3 linked regions of the Drosophila melanogaster genome follow. The gene in region 1 interacts genetically with each later gene. Each region holds a gene or a part of one and is shown in the gene's direction. Other genes may lie near its edges.

Region 1 (5,031 bases):
TTCATATCTTATGCGTAACACTAACGACGAGAGCCTGTTGGTTGGGGACCTGTACATGGGAGTTCATGGATTGGAAGGACTGGAGCAAGCGAACGACCTGTACATCTGCGTCGAGGTGGACTCCTATGGCCACTATTTTCGCAAGGCCACCACCAAGAAGATATGTCGCAGTCAAACGCCGCTCTGGAACGAAAGCTTTATGCTGGAACTGGAGGGCAGCCAGAATGTACGCATTCTTCTTTATGAGGCTAAGGAGCGACCGCTTCTTAAAGCCAAGCACATACTTAAGGTGGGAGTTAAAAGTTGATCTTTGTTATTAAGTTTTACATCAATAATTCCGCTTGATTCCATAGTTGAGTTTAAGTTGGCTGACAGAAACAACGCAGCCGAAGTCAATTAAACTTACTGAGACCTTAGAGCTCGGCTGTAGCTTCCGTTTTATACCAGGCGAGCTCTTCCGCGGCAGCACAAAGCCAGGAGCCCTCTTCGGTGCCAAAATGAGTCAAGTATTAAAGTAAATAATAATTCCATATATCAAATAACAGCACCCCTTTTCGTGAAATGAAAATTGTAAAGAAATAATTAAATATTTTAATAAACTTTGTGAGCAATATAAATTAATGTAAAACTATATATTTCTGTTCATTCAGACGTGAAAAACGCGACATTCCGTTCATCATAGGCGCCTGCATTCGGGAGGTAGAGCGGCGTGGGATGCTGGAGGTTGGCTGCTACCGCGTCAGCGGTTCCGCTTCTGATTTGGCGAAGCTGAAGAAGGCCTTTGAGTCTGGTGAATATATGGCTTTGATGGGTAACCATGTCTTATTACTAATTTGCACTTAATTTTATTTTCTTCAGATGCCTATGAGGCGGAGCAGTTGCTACGCGAGGTGGACATCCATTCGGTCACTGGCATTCTGAAAACTTTTTTAAGGGAGCTCCCCGAGGCCCTTTTCACGGATCAACTTTATCCACGATTTTTCGACACATTCAGCGCCTTTAGCAACAACAACGAATCCACACGAATCAACGAGCTTCTAAAAGTTTTTGAGGAGTTGCCACAGGCCAACAAAGCCTCCATTACTTCGATATTAGATCATTTAATAAGGTTTGTTTCTTATAAACATGGACGTTTAAAATAAACTTTTTTTGTCACTACTTATTGTAGAGTCCACGAAAAGGAGACAGATAACAAGATGTCGTTGCACAATCTGGCCATGGTGTTTGGACCAACCTTGCTAAGGCCGGGCCAAACGCAGGTGAAGCAGAAGGATCCACTGGCAGCCAGCACAGTCGACGTTATGGCTCAGGCAGGAATCCTATACTGCTTTCTTCAGGCACGGATCAAGAAGGATTAGGATTTCGTGAGCAGTTTACACAGATACATATGGACATATATATATGTACAAAAATTATATTTTTTACAAACAATAGCAATAATACGATGGAAGTTGATGGACAGTCTACTCATACGTCACGTCTCTATCTTAATGACAACCCCTTATATTATATAACAAACCGCCCAACTACCTTGAAACTACGGAAAAGGCCATTAAATTCCGAAAACACCATAAAACACTGGTGCTGCCTACTGTATATACCAGAATCCGCAACTGCAATTATAAACCGAATATGATGATATGACGTGGAAAAGGGAAACACCAGGATCTATGTAAGGATCCAGGGATGTCACATATCAGCTCAATGTCGGGTCATCCATGTACATCGCACACCTGGAACTAGCAAGTGTTTAACACTTGTACATCGCTGCTTCTCCGTTACTGAAAATTACTCCCATATATTACCCGTACTTTACTAGACATGTACATTTGGATGCAAGTTCTGCTTACCGTAACAAGTGCAAAAAAGAGCAACAGAAAAATTGCAAATATTTTCAACAATTAAAATATATATCTACAAACATAGGTATATATTTAACTATGTATTTATAAATTTTTACTTATTAAGGTATAATTATTATAATAAGCAATAATGCATATATATATACGTATAAGTAATAATAATTATATTATATTATATATGTATATGTATATAAAAATTTATACATATATCTACAATATATGCATTTATATGTATGCATTATTTCTTATATATATAATATACATATATATGCGTATATATACAACTACTTATTAATAATTTAATTTACAGAAGTAGTGGTAGCGATTTTTTCCGGCTGATTGATATAAAATATGTATGCCTTTAAAATTCAGTTTTTTTTTATTTTTTTTAATATTTAGGTTTTATATAAAAAAGAACGTAAAATAAAAAAAAAAATCTGTTTAGATATTGCTATAGGGCTTCGAGATTATCATTCAGGCATTGTAATTATGTTTCAGGGCAGTTTTTTTTATATGAATATTTTAAAAATTATATTGTCTACTTTATACATTTTCAAGCTAGGCCTGGATATTATTGCTTTTCCTCGTCCTCTTGATTTGACTGCACTTATCCCTCTACAACGAAGAGGGATTTTTAACCGCGTTTCGGCGAATAGGCTGCCAGACTGGCGCCGAATTAGATCACCGTCTGTTTGCAATGCTCCTCCACGCCCAGGTTGTTTATCTTTGGCGCTCTACTCAAGCACCAATTGACGGCAGTAGAAATGAGTACTGGCTCTAAAAGTGTTGAAGGCGCTTTCGGACTCTACTTGGAGATTTAGTCAACAAAGCCAAAGTCACGATGTGAATACGTAAGGAATACAGCTCACCAAAGGCTCTAGGAACACGGATTAGAAATAGTAATTGAAATTCCTTAACAGGTATGACCAAAATGTACTTGAATATGTCTCAAACGTCTCGAATTCTTTATCTTGAGTCCTGAAAACGATCAGTGCGTTAAACAACTAAAATAATATTTTTGGGTCCTTTGGATTACTTTAGATCACTGCGCTTAAGTCCGCTGGATTGCTATCAATTTGGGTGAGCTTCAAGTTATTATGAGTTCATGTCGCCATGTCCGTCACTGAGGAAATCGTCGACTTAATGAAGCCGTTGGGCTAGGAAATTTTATTTTAGCGGATTTTAATGAATCTTTAACTTGGCAATTTAAGCTGTGTGAATGCTACCTAGATTTCGGAAGTGTCTTCTTTAGCTTTCCGTTTTTCCGTTTGGTTGTTCCCAAAGATTCTGATTTCGAAATCACTGGCTCTCCAGTCCAACGAAATTATATTATTTTTGATCTTTTTGTATATCAACTTGAAAATTTTGTTTTCATCTCATTTTCATACTTCCGAAATGTGGTACCATCCTGCCAGCCCCGTAAAAATTAACTAAAGGTGGGACCACGGTTTGAAGACTCCAGGACTGCCAGCAGATTTTTAATAGTAAACCATCTGACAAGGCTGCAAATTCACCACAGGCACAGGACCAAATTGCTGAAAAAAGTTGCGCACCTTTTCGACAGAACTGTAGTCCACTTTTCGAAAGAATATCATCCCGGGAATCAATGTTATCTTTTCTAGATAAACTGATGATGCGTTTACTTTTACTACTTCGCATTACGCTTATCGACGACGACACTTGTTGTTTACTATTGCTCTCTTTAATCTTGTTCTTCTCGGTGAAGTTCACTTTCATGAAGCTTTTGCTTATGAACGCGGGTTTTAAGAAAAACGCTTAGGGATCTGTTTTAAAAAAATTAGACATATTTTCTGTAGGGTACTTCAATGCTATAATTTAATTGAATTGAAATAATAATAATTGCAATAGAATTGCAAAAATACGATAGTATTATCGATAGTACCGCGTTCACCAACATCGATATGTCCAAGATAATCGCTATAGCCAAATGCTCATTGCGTTGTAGGTCTGGGATTCAATACCAAAATAATTTATGGAAAAATAAAATACATTGTCTTACAACAAGTTTATTAAGATGTACTAAATAGAGCAGTTTAAAATATTTAAAACATTTTTTACTTAAACATTTCAAAATGCGCCTTGTAAATTAGACTTATTTTCATTTTGGGGGAATTAAAGCAAAATTCTTTCCAACCTTTCCAATACAATTTTTGCGTTCCAAACAATCCTGTGCAAGTTATATAGTTCTGCATTTAACTCATCAGTACCGTAATCTATCCTGGTCATGGCTAATCGCATCATCGAGGCATTTTTTACGTATAAAATAAACATATTGTTGTGACAATGGTGTTCACGTTGACGTACAGACTATGTATTTATTGCCATGAACTAAGTCAAGTTTATTTTACAAAAAACTCCAAGCCAATTTAAAGCGGAACCCCTCGGATATCATGTAGAATACTTGTATACAAATTAAATGTTGATTATCTTTGGTTTAAGGTATATTTTATTAAAAAAAAACGTATCTCCAGTTAGCTGCCTACTTCATTAACAAGAATATATAACATATTTAAGCCTATAGATATTTATAAGCATAAGATGACATCTGATTGTGCATTACTTCGTTGCAGACACAAAAAAATGGAGAAGAACCAAGTACACTTTGAAGATACATATATGGGATATTAACCAACAAATAACAAATTGGCTGCCAAAAGGTTAAAAAACCAATTGACGTTGACGTACGAAGGTATTCAGATTCCATTACTTTTTAAAACATATTTTAAGTATTCGGATAACGGGTGCCTCAAAAAAGGCGGATATGACAAAGGCGCATCCGAACGACACGACGGCGTTGCCTAAAAACAAGGTCAGGATGAGAGGATTGCTTAGGTGAACAGTGCCGCTCATGTGCGAAGAGCAAATGAACATTATGATGGGATGGATCAGATAGGCACAGTATGTGAGTCGTGAAAGTGGCCACATAACGCGATACGACAGTATTGCATTTACGGTTGGCACAAGCCCCCAACAGCAGGATAAGACGATCCACACTAGCCCACATCCGAAGGCTGTGTGGGCTACGCCCACGTAAAAGGCGCTGCTGGTGGTGCCTAAATGTCCTTCCCAAACCCCAAAGACCACGATCAGAAGTACGAAAAGGCTGCATGCCCAAAGGGAAAGATTTAAACGCCTGGAAATCAGCGGC
Region 2 (7,729 bases), on another chromosome or scaffold:
CAGCAGGCGATGTGGCACTCCGTTCAGACAATGGCCAGCCGTTAGGATGGTGTGGTTATTTATTATGGAGCCGCCACAATGGTGGATGCCGTACAGTTGGATGGACACTATGTACGGAATGTTGGCGATATCGGCTGGGAAGCCACCGACTATGCGTGGATCTGGGCGACTCTCCAGAGATAGACACCCAGAAGCCTGGAGGAGAAGCAATTTCCACCATAACTTGTACATCATTCGCAGTTAAACGGAGAAAGAATCGCTTTAAAGTAGGAATGTGCGGTCTTTGGATCGCACCTTAAGTACGGAAGAACGTGAAAAATAATGAGAAAAAGCATTTCAATAAGTGCCCATTACTTTGTAATTAGGAAGAGGTTTCGTTTATCTCGCAACTGTTTCAGCTTCGCCGACAGACAGAATATACAATATATGTAACTAAGCTCCGTTCGTGCCGTCAGTTATTAAGAGCCGGACTAATTAAAGTTCAAAATAGTTGAAATGCGAGGAAAGAATGGACCAAATGGATTAAATTAGGGAATACTTAACTACCAAGTAGGTGCTCCAAGGGGCCACTTACCTAGCAATCTGCCATGAATCATCTTTCAATAACTAGGGCTTTCTTCGGTCCGATTCTCCTCGCTTTTCACAAATGTATATCATTTGAATAGCATTAATGGCCAAATCTGGCCTCCACTCATCTATTGTTTGCCCAATTTGTTATCAAAGCACGACCCGTTTTCTCGGCGAACGGACTCGGCCAACTGATTTGCATTGGCTTGACCCATAAATTTGGAAATCAAACACCGTTTGATGGGCCATTCTGGCTCTGGTCTGGCATACTGGCATATCCACGTCGAAAGCGCTGTCCCCGCCAATAAAGTGGGCTATTCGAGATCGGCAGATATCACTGATCTCCAGCCAGTGCGAATGGGGGATGGGGATGGGGGCTAGTCGAAATGGAGTAAAAGTAAACACCGAACATAAGCCCACACAAATCGTTATGGTGGATTTGGCCTAAGCCGATTAGGCTAGAATGGGAGAAAATGGGTGACGAGCGATTTCACGCGACACCTGCGTACGTACCTTTCTCACTCCCAACTCCCAACTCCACACTCCTCATTTCTCATTAGTGAAAGTGAAAAATAGTAAAAACGCAAGCGACAGTTATAAGCCAAAACCCATTGTTACGCGTCGCTTTTCTGGCAGCCCTTGGGCGCTAACAGGCCCATAAGAAAATTATTCGAGGAGCCATAATGCCAACTTTATATGTTACCTATGTTAGGCCCAAAGAGAGCCAAAGAGCGCAGACAGGTGCACATTGTTCTCGATCGTTGACCGCAATCACCATGGTTGCATCTCCAACACGTTCGAGTTCGGAGTGTAGAGATCCAGCCACAGGTGATACCTCACCATTACCAAGCACGAGTGTGTTTACCATGCTAACAATTTCTTTCTGTTTGAGGTTCTTTCGTCTGCGAGCATCATCCACATCCATCGCCCCGAGACTTTCTTTTGCAAGAATTCCACTTCCACGACGAACTGCGTCCCGCTCTCTCGCGCCTTCTCTCTTCCTTCGCCAGCCGAGCTGCTCCCAGAACTTCTTTATCTAATTTTTATAACAAGTCACTCGGCGGCGTGGAAGACTTCAGTTCTGCGGCGACCATCGAATGGTCAAGTTCGGTGCTCCCTTGTTCCCATTGCGAAAGATCTTGGGCTGCGAAAGTGTTTTGTCTCAGTGTGACTAGGCTGAAATTCGGGAAAGACTCAGGCAACGAACTTGTTAATTAGGTAATTGTTTGACGATATGGATATGACTATGAATATGGATATGGATATTGAAACGAAGATGTTAGAATGCCTCACATCATGAGCACTGGTGTGGGAACAGAGCTATGCCTTTTCCACCTCCGATCGAACCGCTACTCAGCAGATGCTGCCCAGATGCACCGACTGAGGAATAACTAAGAAAAATCTGAACAAAAAACGTTAACCGGTTTACTTAAACGGCAGTGATCGGACTGACGGATGACTATGCCTATGCCAGCGTTGAAAAACGGAGACAATCATTCTGAAAAAGTGAACTGCAAAAACGCAGCAAACTGAGAAAAACTGTGCAGAATGCAAAAGACTCGAAAGACTCCAGCCCCAGTTACATATACGTTCTTCACGATTCTTCGCAATTCTTTACCATTCTTCAAGGTTCTGCAGCCAGTCTGCGGCTTCCGTCAAAACATTAGGACTTCCGTCCTGGAATGGGAGTTCCCCCCCCGACGGATGCCAACTGACTTGGTTCGGCTTTCTTGGCTAAATTCTGAGATACTCACGCATATTGGCAGAAATCTCAGAGTCAGTGAATCCTAAGAGCTGGAAATTAGCACAGTAGTTCGTTAGTGGTCCCGTGATTATCCCACGAATCCCAAATTGGCCACATTCGAAGTTTCGCCGAATGGGAAATTAATCTAACAGTGTGATACCTGCCGTTAAATTTTTGGCAGGCTTTAGTCACCGGAGAAATGAAGTCATTAACACATTCAGAATGGTGAAAGTTTTTTCCTATGGCGCGGTCCCTCTCGAAGATCGGATTTCTATTGACGCTTGGCAGATCGTTTAATTACATCATGCACCTGGAATTGGGGCTGAATGTGAATGGAGCCGAAGTTGGTCAGAAGGGGTGTAGACTAGACGCTGTTCGACATTAAAAAAAAACCCAAAAGAGCTATAAGGTCGCAGAAACAAAGGCAGTTAAATAAAAGAAAAAGTTCGAAAGTGCTAAACAGTTAACAAGTGCTGATTGGCCCAAAACAGTGAACCCAAAAGCGGTATTGTGATGTGTTAGCTCGACTGATTGATTGATCTAGATAGTAGTAGCATATGCACAAAGCGGCACATTGAAGAGAAGTATTCTTTATGCTTAGTTATTATTATGACAAGAATGTTTTTGCAAGGTGGATTCATCTAATCTCCCCCTACCTTTGTTACCAATTTCAAAACCCATTTCTCTAGTTAGTAAAGAGGAGTTCCGAGGTCCTTCAGCACTCCCTACTTTTACTGCCCATCCACGCATAGTTGGCCTCTTCCCTCAGTTTCCTTTTTCTAAACCTTGCAGTAGCCGCAACCCACAGTGGTTGGGAGAACGCTTAGTGGGGCCCCGCATTCTTGGCCCCGCAGAAACTACGATCATTTAACAGTAATTTGGGCAATAAACGACTGTTCGCACTAATCGATTGTGATCAGCGACACAGTTAGGCGGCGCTGTTTCCTTGGGCTGTTCATGTCGATGCCCCATACCCACTGGATACCGGTTGGGTTTCGGTTTCGGTTTGGGTTTCGTTTGGGGATTGGGATTGGGTTGGGGCTCGACCTGATCGCTGCGGGCGTAACACCCATACCCAGGTGCCCATGTAGCCATGTAGCCATGTACATGCATGTGTCTATGCTCGGCAGAAACAGCTTTTGACGATAATCATTGACCCAATTCTTCTGCCGCTTTCTACAAGATTTTTGTACAATAACATGGTCATGGACTCGTTATAATGCAGCTTCCTGAGTGGCCATTCTTTACATGGCACTGCCGAATGCCGAATGCCGAACGCTGTATGGTCATGTGCACCGGACCCCGACATATTCGTATTCATGCCATTCCGGGCCAGAATCCACTGAGGAAGGGAAAAAGAATAAAGAAGAATTCAAAAGTCTTTCAAGCATTTTATCTCTAATTAAGTACGGCTCGTTTTGACCGCTGCAGGGTTTATGAATTATGAATCACCCGATGAATTAACGGTATGTTTCTAAATATCATCTTGAAAGAATGAAGAAGCTCAGTTTTGGGTGGAACGTCGGCCCGTCGGAAAGTCGCCACAGCGGATTAGTGTGTCTGGTGCGTCGGCAGTCATGCGTTTTCTACATATCAGCTATCCGTATCCGTATGCCATCCTATCCGTATCTATTACCCACCAAAGTTTTCTGCACACATGGGTATTCATGAGAATTCTGATGGAATAACTGTGCTGCTAGCCAGCTAGCCAGCTAGGAACTTTATATATGTATATCTCTTAATACAGTTATCATGGTAATAAGTCATGCTTCAAGTGGGCTCCTAACGAGATACTCGCCAATGGCAATTACGCGGCTCGAAAGCCAAATGTATTCCCTTTCGTAATAATATTCTTTTCTATAATTGAATTGTTGTCCCGCCTCGCAAGTATTTGTATTAATAATTTTCCAAATTGTCCATTCCTTACGGGTTTCTTGAGTCCCTAAGGTTCGGTTCCTTTGGGTACCTGAGGTTCTGGCGAAACAAGCTCTACATGGTACTTGGCGAAAAATTAGAGCTCATGACCCCTTGATGGTCTCCACAGCGCAACCGTCAATCATAAGCGATGCCCATTAACTTGGCTGTTGCGCAAGAGTTTAGCTCAGCGGACCAGAAAAAAAATCAGGGGATCGCGAATAGTGGCGAATCTGGTGAATAGTGCACGGGGTCATCGACGTGAGCTCCGTTTTCCCAACGGAATGGATCCAATCCGACTGGATAGAATGGAGTGGAGTGGAGTGGAGTAACTGGCCGTGATATTGTTTCTGCGACTTCGTAATTCGCGTTACGCCTTATGGCAAACAAATTAATTTGAAGAGATTGAGACAGTGCCTGCGTAGTCAATTTGGCTCGCTTTATAAATAAAGCTTAGCGTTATGCCTTACGATTATGGGCCAATACAATGTTTGCTTATTTAAGATGTTCTATAAACAGGTATACCCATTTGCAGTTATTGGTTCAGAACGCTTGGAATGTTTGAGGATAGATAATGTATCTTAAGTAACAGCCCTCTATCTATCTTTAGATACTCAGCAGCAGCTTGTTTCTTACAGGCCCAGTGATAGATACTCTAAATATGGCCAAGATAAACCTACTGCGACACCTCTTCCTGGCCCTAATGCTGTACAGTGCGGCCACGGCCAAGGAGCACCTGCGAATCCGAAGACAGGCTGCGGAATCGGTGACTGCCGCAGCTCCGAATGCCAGTAAGGTGATGGCCTCCGAGGAGATTAAGGACAAGACAGAGTGGCCCGGCGCCAAAGAAACCTCCACCGAAATCAATAGGACTGAGAGGCCCGTAGAAAACGTGGAGACCCGCAACTCGGGCTTCGACTTGCCGGCCGCCTCGGATTTGTCCAGCTCTCTGGGTTCCGAGGAGGATAGCATCTACTACGACAATGCTCCCGTGGACTGCAATCCCGAGCTGGTGGGCTTTGAAATTGTGACAGGGTAAGTAAAGACGGGTGGTTGCTACCCTACCCTAATGGCTGCTCAACTGACAAGTCCTTCGCCAGATACGTCTTCTCGGCGCCCGAAAAGCTGATGGACTCCCAGCCGGGCACGCTAATGCTCACTGATTGCTTGGACACCTGTAGGAAGAACAAAACCTGCCAGTCAGTGAACTACGAGACCGGGCTTTGCGTGCTCTTCTCGGCACATGCTGATCAATTACCGGGTAAGCTACTTATGCCGCTAAACAAACCAGCTCGCGACTTAATCACAATCATTACGAAGGTGCCCTGACAAAGTCGCAGTTCCCCGTATTCACTATCTATGCCCAAAAATCATGCCTGGCCGTGAAGCCCTGCTCCCGAGCCTGGTACGTCGATCGTGTTCAGAACTACAAGCTCAAGACGGAAGTTAAGCGTACCGTGTCGGTGGCGTCAAGACGCGAGTGCTTTGAACTCTGCCTCGGCGAAAACGACTTCACATGCAGGTAGGTAGCGCCCAGTAGTACAGTCCAAACACCCAAACTTCACCCTCAACAAAGTCAAGTGAAGCAGAAAACTGCAACCCCCAACCCGAAACCGATTATTCCATATTCAACTATGTACATATGTCCCCTGTAGATCTGCCAACTACGATCGCACCTCTGGAGCTTGCGAGCTGAGCGAACTGGATCGCCTGACTCTGGCCGGCTCCCAGGCCTTCCAGGTGAACGATGGGTCGGATTACCTTGAAAATCACTGTGTCGATGAACCCAACAAGCTCTGCGAATTCAAACGTCTACCTGGTCGCATACTGAAGACGGTGGACTCGGTTTACCAAGAAGTGAGCAGCATTGACGAGTGCCGGGAACTGTGCCTCAACTCGCCATATAGGTCAGTAACATGTCCAATTATAAGCAGCTCTCCCTGATCTTGGGGGATTTAAGGGGACTAGACCCTTTGGGTCCGCCAATTAGACTATTTGATTGAAGGCGATATCATATCACACCATCCTCGACATTTCCATCCAACTCAGGTGCCATTCGTACGACTACAACGACACGGGTGACATGGTGTGTAGATTATCCCATCACAGTCGTGCCACCTTGGCGGATGTGCAGGAACCCTTCCTGGAGGTGCCCGAGGCGTCGACCTATGAACTGACTTCCTGCTACAATGTGACCATCGAGTGCGGCGGCGGGGACATGCTGGCACGCATCCGCACCTCCAAGCTCTTCAACGGCAAGGTGTACGCCAAGGGATCGCCCAAGTCCTGCTCGGTGGACGTGAAGAGCGCGCTGGACTTCGAGCTGCGCATGAACTACCACGATCTGGAGTGCAATGTGCGCCAGAGCACCGCCGGGCGCTATGTGAACGATATAATTATCCAGCACCACGACATGATTGTGACATCCTCCGATCTGGGCTTGGCCTTGGCCTGTCAGTACGACCTGACCAACAAGTCGGTGAGCAATGGCGTCGATCTGGATGTGCGCGGCGACATCATGCCGGCCCTGTCCGAGGAGGTAATTGTGGAGTCGCCCAACGTCATCATGCGGATTACGTCGCGCGACGGCTCGGACATGATGCGCTCCGCCGAGGTGGGCGACCCGCTGGCCCTCAAGTTCGAGATCGTCGACGAGCAGAGCCCCTACGAGATCTTCATTCGGGAGCTGGTTGCCATGGATGGCGTGGATAACTCGGAAATTACCTTAATCGATTCGAATGGCTGCCCAACCGACCACTTCATAATGGGTCCCATTTACAAGGGATCGGTTTCCGGCAAGATGCTGCTCTCCAATTTCGATGCCTTCAAGTTCCCCTCCAGCGAGGTGGTCCAGTTCCGCGCCTTGGTCACGCCCTGCATGCCCAGCTGCGAGCCCGTCCAGTGCGAGCAGGAGGACACCAGCGGGGAGTTCAGGTCCTTGTTGTCCTATGGCCGGAAACGCAGATCGCTCAACACCACAGGTAAGATCACAGATCATCTGATGGTCTTGCTATCTTCTCTTGCTATAACTTTCAACAACCTGTTCGCACACAGATGATCATCCGAGACCACGTCGCGACATCGACACTTCAAAGAAGTCCGCCCCCAGCGACATGCTGCTGGTTCAGTCCATTCAGATTACGGATAAGTTCGGATTCAAGCAAGATAAGCAGGAAAGCGGAGACTTTTACGACGGTAACGAGACCACATTCACTGCCAACGAGGAGGGTCACGGATTCTGCGTTAACGCCATTGGTAAGCTTTAATAACTTTCAATGTGGCGGCTGGCCATAAACCGCGTCTTAAAGAACCACTTTGCCAGCTGGCAGATGAACGGATTAGTGGCCTAATATACTAATAACCCCGTGCGCTCTCTCTCTCTCTCTCCTCGTCACTAGGTCTTATCACGGCTGCCACCATTTTCCTGCTAACTCAGCTGGCCGTGATCGCGATCTGGACGTACTGCTACCAACGCCGGCAGAAGCTGCAGCCGTATCAGCACTC
Region 3 (4,797 bases), on another chromosome or scaffold:
ATTTTCTTGGTTGAGGTGCATCAGCAACTTAATCAGTGGCAGCGTTTCGAATACGTGAACGGATGCTGTTCCAATCCGCACAAACTTCTACAAGAAACCCTTAAAGAAAAGCTGAGAATGAGGGGATTCCATTCAATTCAAATGCTGTGCTGAGTAGGGGAATAATATAAAATTTGAAGCATACACTCAAAAAGTTAAAATAAGGCGTCCAAAGAAAAAATTATAACTAAAGACTTAAGCAACAAACTTTATGGGACAGATGAAACATGTGCATCTGCTATGCGGGCTATTTTCGGAAATAACTGTTTTCATTTTCGCCCGAAAAACGAAAGCAACGGCAATAACGAAGCCTCGGTTCTCGCTAACTAAAAAAAAATGCACCTGTTCGCAGTCACACCAAAGAAAAAAATCACCGAGATACAGATCACCAAATCTTCCAAATCTTCGCAAATCAACGTGCATCATCATTAAGCAGCTGTCATTGTCACACGGTGAAATGCAAATTGCCTTTCTAACCCCTTCAATCCCCTTTTTTTCCACCTCTTCAAAACATTTTTGGGCATTTTCGAGCGCTTTGTGTAAACATTTCCGGCGACATTTGATTGCCGCTTTGCAAGAGTTACAATTTGCGCTTCCTTGCGCGACATTTCATTTAGCAATTGTCGCTTTGTCTTCAGTTGTGGATTTCTTTGATTTGGCTTAGCTTTCTCCAGATTGTGACGAACGCCTCGTGGACTCATCAGTATGCAGAAGATCGTGCCGCTTTTCAGTTACAGCTTCGTTGAAAGCGAAAGGTCTCCCGTCTGCCGTCATCCGATTCCACAACAATCCAAAATCCGATCCCAAATTGATTCATTTTTCGGTGTCCCTTTGTATCGATTGTTTTGTGATCGCCTATGTTTACATTGGCTGATCGTTCCAATCGTTCAATTTATGAGCCTAACATGTTAATGACTCAATAGAAATGTTATTAAATCATTTGTTGATCTACGCTGTCCGACAAATCTGTAACTTTCTTTGGCATCTTCAGGGGCTGTGTGATCAATTGATGGACGTTTTGATTTCTTCCTCGATTCTGCTGCACCTTTCTATTCAAGTTGACTTCGTTTTGGGCTCCTAATTCATTTAAACTGCGGTGCTGGACAGCTTTTATGGAGCATAAAACGCACGACACTGCCTGGCTGACCACAAGACGAGTGAAAAATGAGAATTCAAGTTGGCCAAGAAGTAATATCATAATTTTCATGTACCAATAACTCGACTAAGTGCGATCTCATGGGCCAAATTGATTTTTCCCCGGTTCTAGATCTCCAGTTCGATCTCCTTCTCTACGATCTCAGCTCGCAGCTCGAGAACTGATTTCAATTTAATTAATGATATTGAACGTCGTGTGTGCCCGTTTTGAACCCTCGTGGTTCCGTTTCAGCCGGGGGATTTGGTAATCGAAATTATGAATGGACCGCGACGGGACTCAATGAAATATGCCACATGTGCCCCAGAAGAGAGCACCTGAAGCGAAGAGAGCCCCAGAAGAGCGTCATCCCGAGAGAAATGCAATACCCACTCGCTTTTCCCCCACAGCTCAGCACAACTCACTCAAACGAGAGTTTGGCTTTGAGCCGTTTGTGTTTGCCACTCATTTCTCTGGCTTTGGCATTGGCTTTCTTTGCCCGACCGCTTTGTGTGTTTTTTGGCTTTCTTTTGAGCTCTATGCTCGGCAGCACTTTATATCGTTGGCCATTGTCAAGGCGAACGCACGCGAGCAGCGCAGCAAAGCAGCTAAAGAAAGGCAACTGAAGAACTCAAAACTCCTCCGTGAGCAACTTATATAACGACTGATTAGCCCGGAGTTTGCTTTAGTTATTCGGTCAACTCTCGACGGTCAAGCTCGCAGCGATCTCGCGACTTGGCAACCAAAAAATAATTCACAAAAGCACCGAATCGCGTTACAAGGAACTTTAGTCCGCGGCTTTGACGAGGAGCAACCTACCAGCAAAGTCAAGTGCAACATTCAATACCCACCGATGTGCAATGTGTGTAATCAGCAAACAGTGATCATTTACATACATGAATAAAACTCATCTCGAAAGTGAAGCGTGACTCAGCATCGATAGCCGAAAAAGGCAGGAGAACAAGACAATCCGAAAGGAAAGGATACTTTTCGGTCACTTCCAGAACTCACGACCCCAAGTTACAGTTGCAGTTGCAAAATATTCTGGCCAAGTGAGTGTTTATTAACTTTTACCACACACACGTAATATGCGCAATGACAAGTAAGAAATTCAGAAACAGTGATCGGCAAGAAATCTCCTTCTTCGTTAAACAATCTGCTTTGAGAACAACCTTGGGTCGATTGATTACAGAATTTCCCCCAATCCCCATTGAGTTCAAAATAAATAATTCAAGTGCTTTCCATAGCGGTTCACTTACCTTTGGAATCAAAAATATTTTTTTAATTTTTGTAGTTGTTCTTCCTTAAATATTTGCTCTCAGATAACAGAAGATTTCGAACTGTGAATATAAAAAGATACAGTATTAAATGACCTTAGATAAGGACTAAGTAGCTCGGTCGATCAATAAAAAAATTCACATTATACTTCAAAAATGAATTAATGCATCCTTAAAGGGCACAGAAAAAAAGTGTTGTAATCAAATTACAAATTTTGTATATATTCACACAAGTTGCAGAAAAAATAATAAATGTAAAGACAATGGCCGCCGAATGCTTCTTAGACTTACTATTTCTCGCTGCAATCAAAAATAATGTATCCAGATTGCAATTGTGATGGCATCCAGACATTTGCATTAATTGGCAACAGATTCATTAAGTTTCGTTGTCTTGTGCTGTCTTTTATAGATCATCTAGAGTCCCCACAATTAAAAGTGAACACAGGGCGGGCAATTAAAATAATTAAGCCCCCGATGTGGTGTGAAATCCACAATGCAACGTGTCAGAATAGAACCCACGAGCAAAGAGTGGGGAAAAAGAGATACTAGAACAGGACCCCGACCCTGATAAAAGGCGTTGATGATCTGAAGAGCAAGGCTAAAGCCAGAGAACCAAAGAAAGCCAAAGACCACCGGCTGAAATGATCCATTGAGTGTCAGCTACCGTGTTGGTTGGCTAGCGAGGGTTCTTCTTCGGTGAGCTGGTATTTAAATTTGCCCGCAATAATTGCCCTGGCCATGACTGGGCTTTGCTCTCAAACTTGGCTCCGGCTCCGGCTCTGCAGTTGTGGGCCAGAAAGCTAGGGAGTTGGCATCATGGCATCATCACGATGACATGACAGTTACAACACAGCCTTCGTTCGCCTGGCAGCTATTCATTTACGCAGCCTGCCAGTCGCCGTTGATTAGACGAAGCGTGCGCTTTAATTGCCGCCAAATGGCAGGGAAAAGACCATGCAGGCAAGAAAACCACGATGAAGAAAGAGAATCTTCAAGAGCCTTCGCCTTCGGCCTGGCAATTTGTCATGTGCATTTAATATTCGCCGGGCCTTGGCTTCCGTGCCTTAAAAAACAATTTGCGTTTGTTTGTCCAGCTTGTTTGTTGCAGTTAGCGTTGATTAGCCTCTGCAAAAAGTTCTCCCATTGCAATTACAGGCAACCAACATCAAATGCCACAACACCAGGTAGCCAGGCTGAGCCAGCTGAGCCAGCTGTGTGCCTCTAGTATCTAAAGCATCTTGCACCTAGCCACTCCCCACACACTTTGGTGTCAGCAAAGCAATTTCAAATGTCTGGCCATGCGGAATTTATATGGGCTCTATACGAGACCCACCGCATTTGGGCGTTCATTCTGCCGTGAAATTGATAGATTTAATTTGACATTTGGCGCAGGTCCGCGCATTTGTTTTTGCATTTGATTTCTAGCTTGCAGGCTATGTGCGCTTATGCTTTTTCTATTCCCTCCATTTTGTAATTTACTTTTGCGGCTGACAGTGGTCATCAATGGCTAATCATCGTAGTCGTCGAGAAGAAATCGCGAAATGGATTCTAAGTAGCGAGATTGCGACTGTGATTGTCAGGCAGAAAAACCGCTTCCGTTTCAGTTTAACCAAGATAATTGATTGATGGACCGCCGCATTTTCAATTGCCAAGACAACGTAGTCCATCTCTCCAAGAGTTGTCCGTCTGTAAGCCTCATTTGGGCCAACAGTTTTACTGTTTGGTTTTCGGTGTGCCAAATTACCATTTATGTTTATTTGCGATTGTCAACTTTTGGGTCAGTTGGCTGTTTGGGCTGGCAATTAGCACAGATCTACCCAACAATGGTCGACGGATGGGAAATAACATAACTGTTTGGATTACTTTGCATTTGGCTTTGGCCAGCGATTAGCTCTTCTACTGTTTTGGCACCTTTTTTTGGGGCTAATGCCGCTTGATCTTAGATTGGCTTCATGATAATTTATGCACAAGATGCACGAAATTGGGTTGAGAAATTATCGAAGGAAATTGGCTGATGATATCATCAGCTGATGAGAGCCGCTTTCTACACATCGCATTTCCCCCAAGAAGATTATCTGGCTGGCAGTACAGTTTATCCCACGATTTTGCGTGGCTCTATCAAACCATTTTGATCATGTGAATTACTCTTATTAAGTATACGCCCTGTTCGTCGCCTTTAGATCGCTGCCATAGCTCCAGAGGCTAATAGCATGGCAACAGCACAACCTGTCCATCAAAATGCTAGCTCGTTTCGCACTTGATTCGCTTTCATTGAAAAGTGTCCGATTTGAAGACATGCAGTTTGGCTAATTCGATCAGAAGTGCTGCCCGAAATAATTTGCAATTGTG

Evidence for each region.
Region 2: of tyn (region 1) and neo, changing one suppresses a phenotype caused by changing the other (phenotypic suppression), as found in Drosophila melanogaster (one study listed by BioGRID).
Region 3: of tyn (region 1) and nyo, changing one suppresses a phenotype caused by changing the other (phenotypic suppression), as found in Drosophila melanogaster (one study listed by BioGRID).

What each region holds. Positions count from the first base shown.
Region 1 is NC_004354.4:138,417-143,447, forward strand, and holds the start of tyn (trynity), read left to right. Parts: upstream 1-1,901; 5' UTR 1,902-1,926; intron 1,927-2,305; exon of another isoform or gene 2,306-2,420; 5' UTR 2,421-2,782; exon of another isoform or gene 2,783-3,781; intron 3,782-3,791; exon of another isoform or gene 3,792-3,899; intron 3,900-4,314; exon of another isoform or gene 4,315-4,453; 5' UTR 4,454-4,586; coding exon of another isoform or gene 4,587-5,031. Other genes in the region: RhoGAP1A (Rho GTPase activating protein at 1A), read left to right, coding at 1-289, 354-514, 651-790, 859-1,108, 1,169-1,358; CG17707 (uncharacterized protein), read right to left, coding at 4,587-5,031.
Region 2 is NT_033777.3:29,817,495-29,825,223, forward strand, and holds the start of neo (neyo), read left to right. Parts: upstream 1-1,636; 5' UTR 1,637-1,785; intron 1,786-4,835; 5' UTR 4,836-4,886; coding exon 4,887-5,260; intron 5,261-5,325; coding exon 5,326-5,486; intron 5,487-5,545; coding exon 5,546-5,747; intron 5,748-5,880; coding exon 5,881-6,132; intron 6,133-6,274; coding exon 6,275-7,206; intron 7,207-7,279; coding exon 7,280-7,480; intron 7,481-7,623; coding exon 7,624-7,729. Other genes in the region: CG7829 (uncharacterized protein), read right to left, coding at 1-234.
Region 3 is NT_033777.3:31,541,305-31,546,101, forward strand, and holds the start of nyo (nyobe), read left to right. Parts: upstream 1-1,727; 5' UTR 1,728-2,223; exon of another isoform or gene 2,224-2,273; intron 2,274-4,797.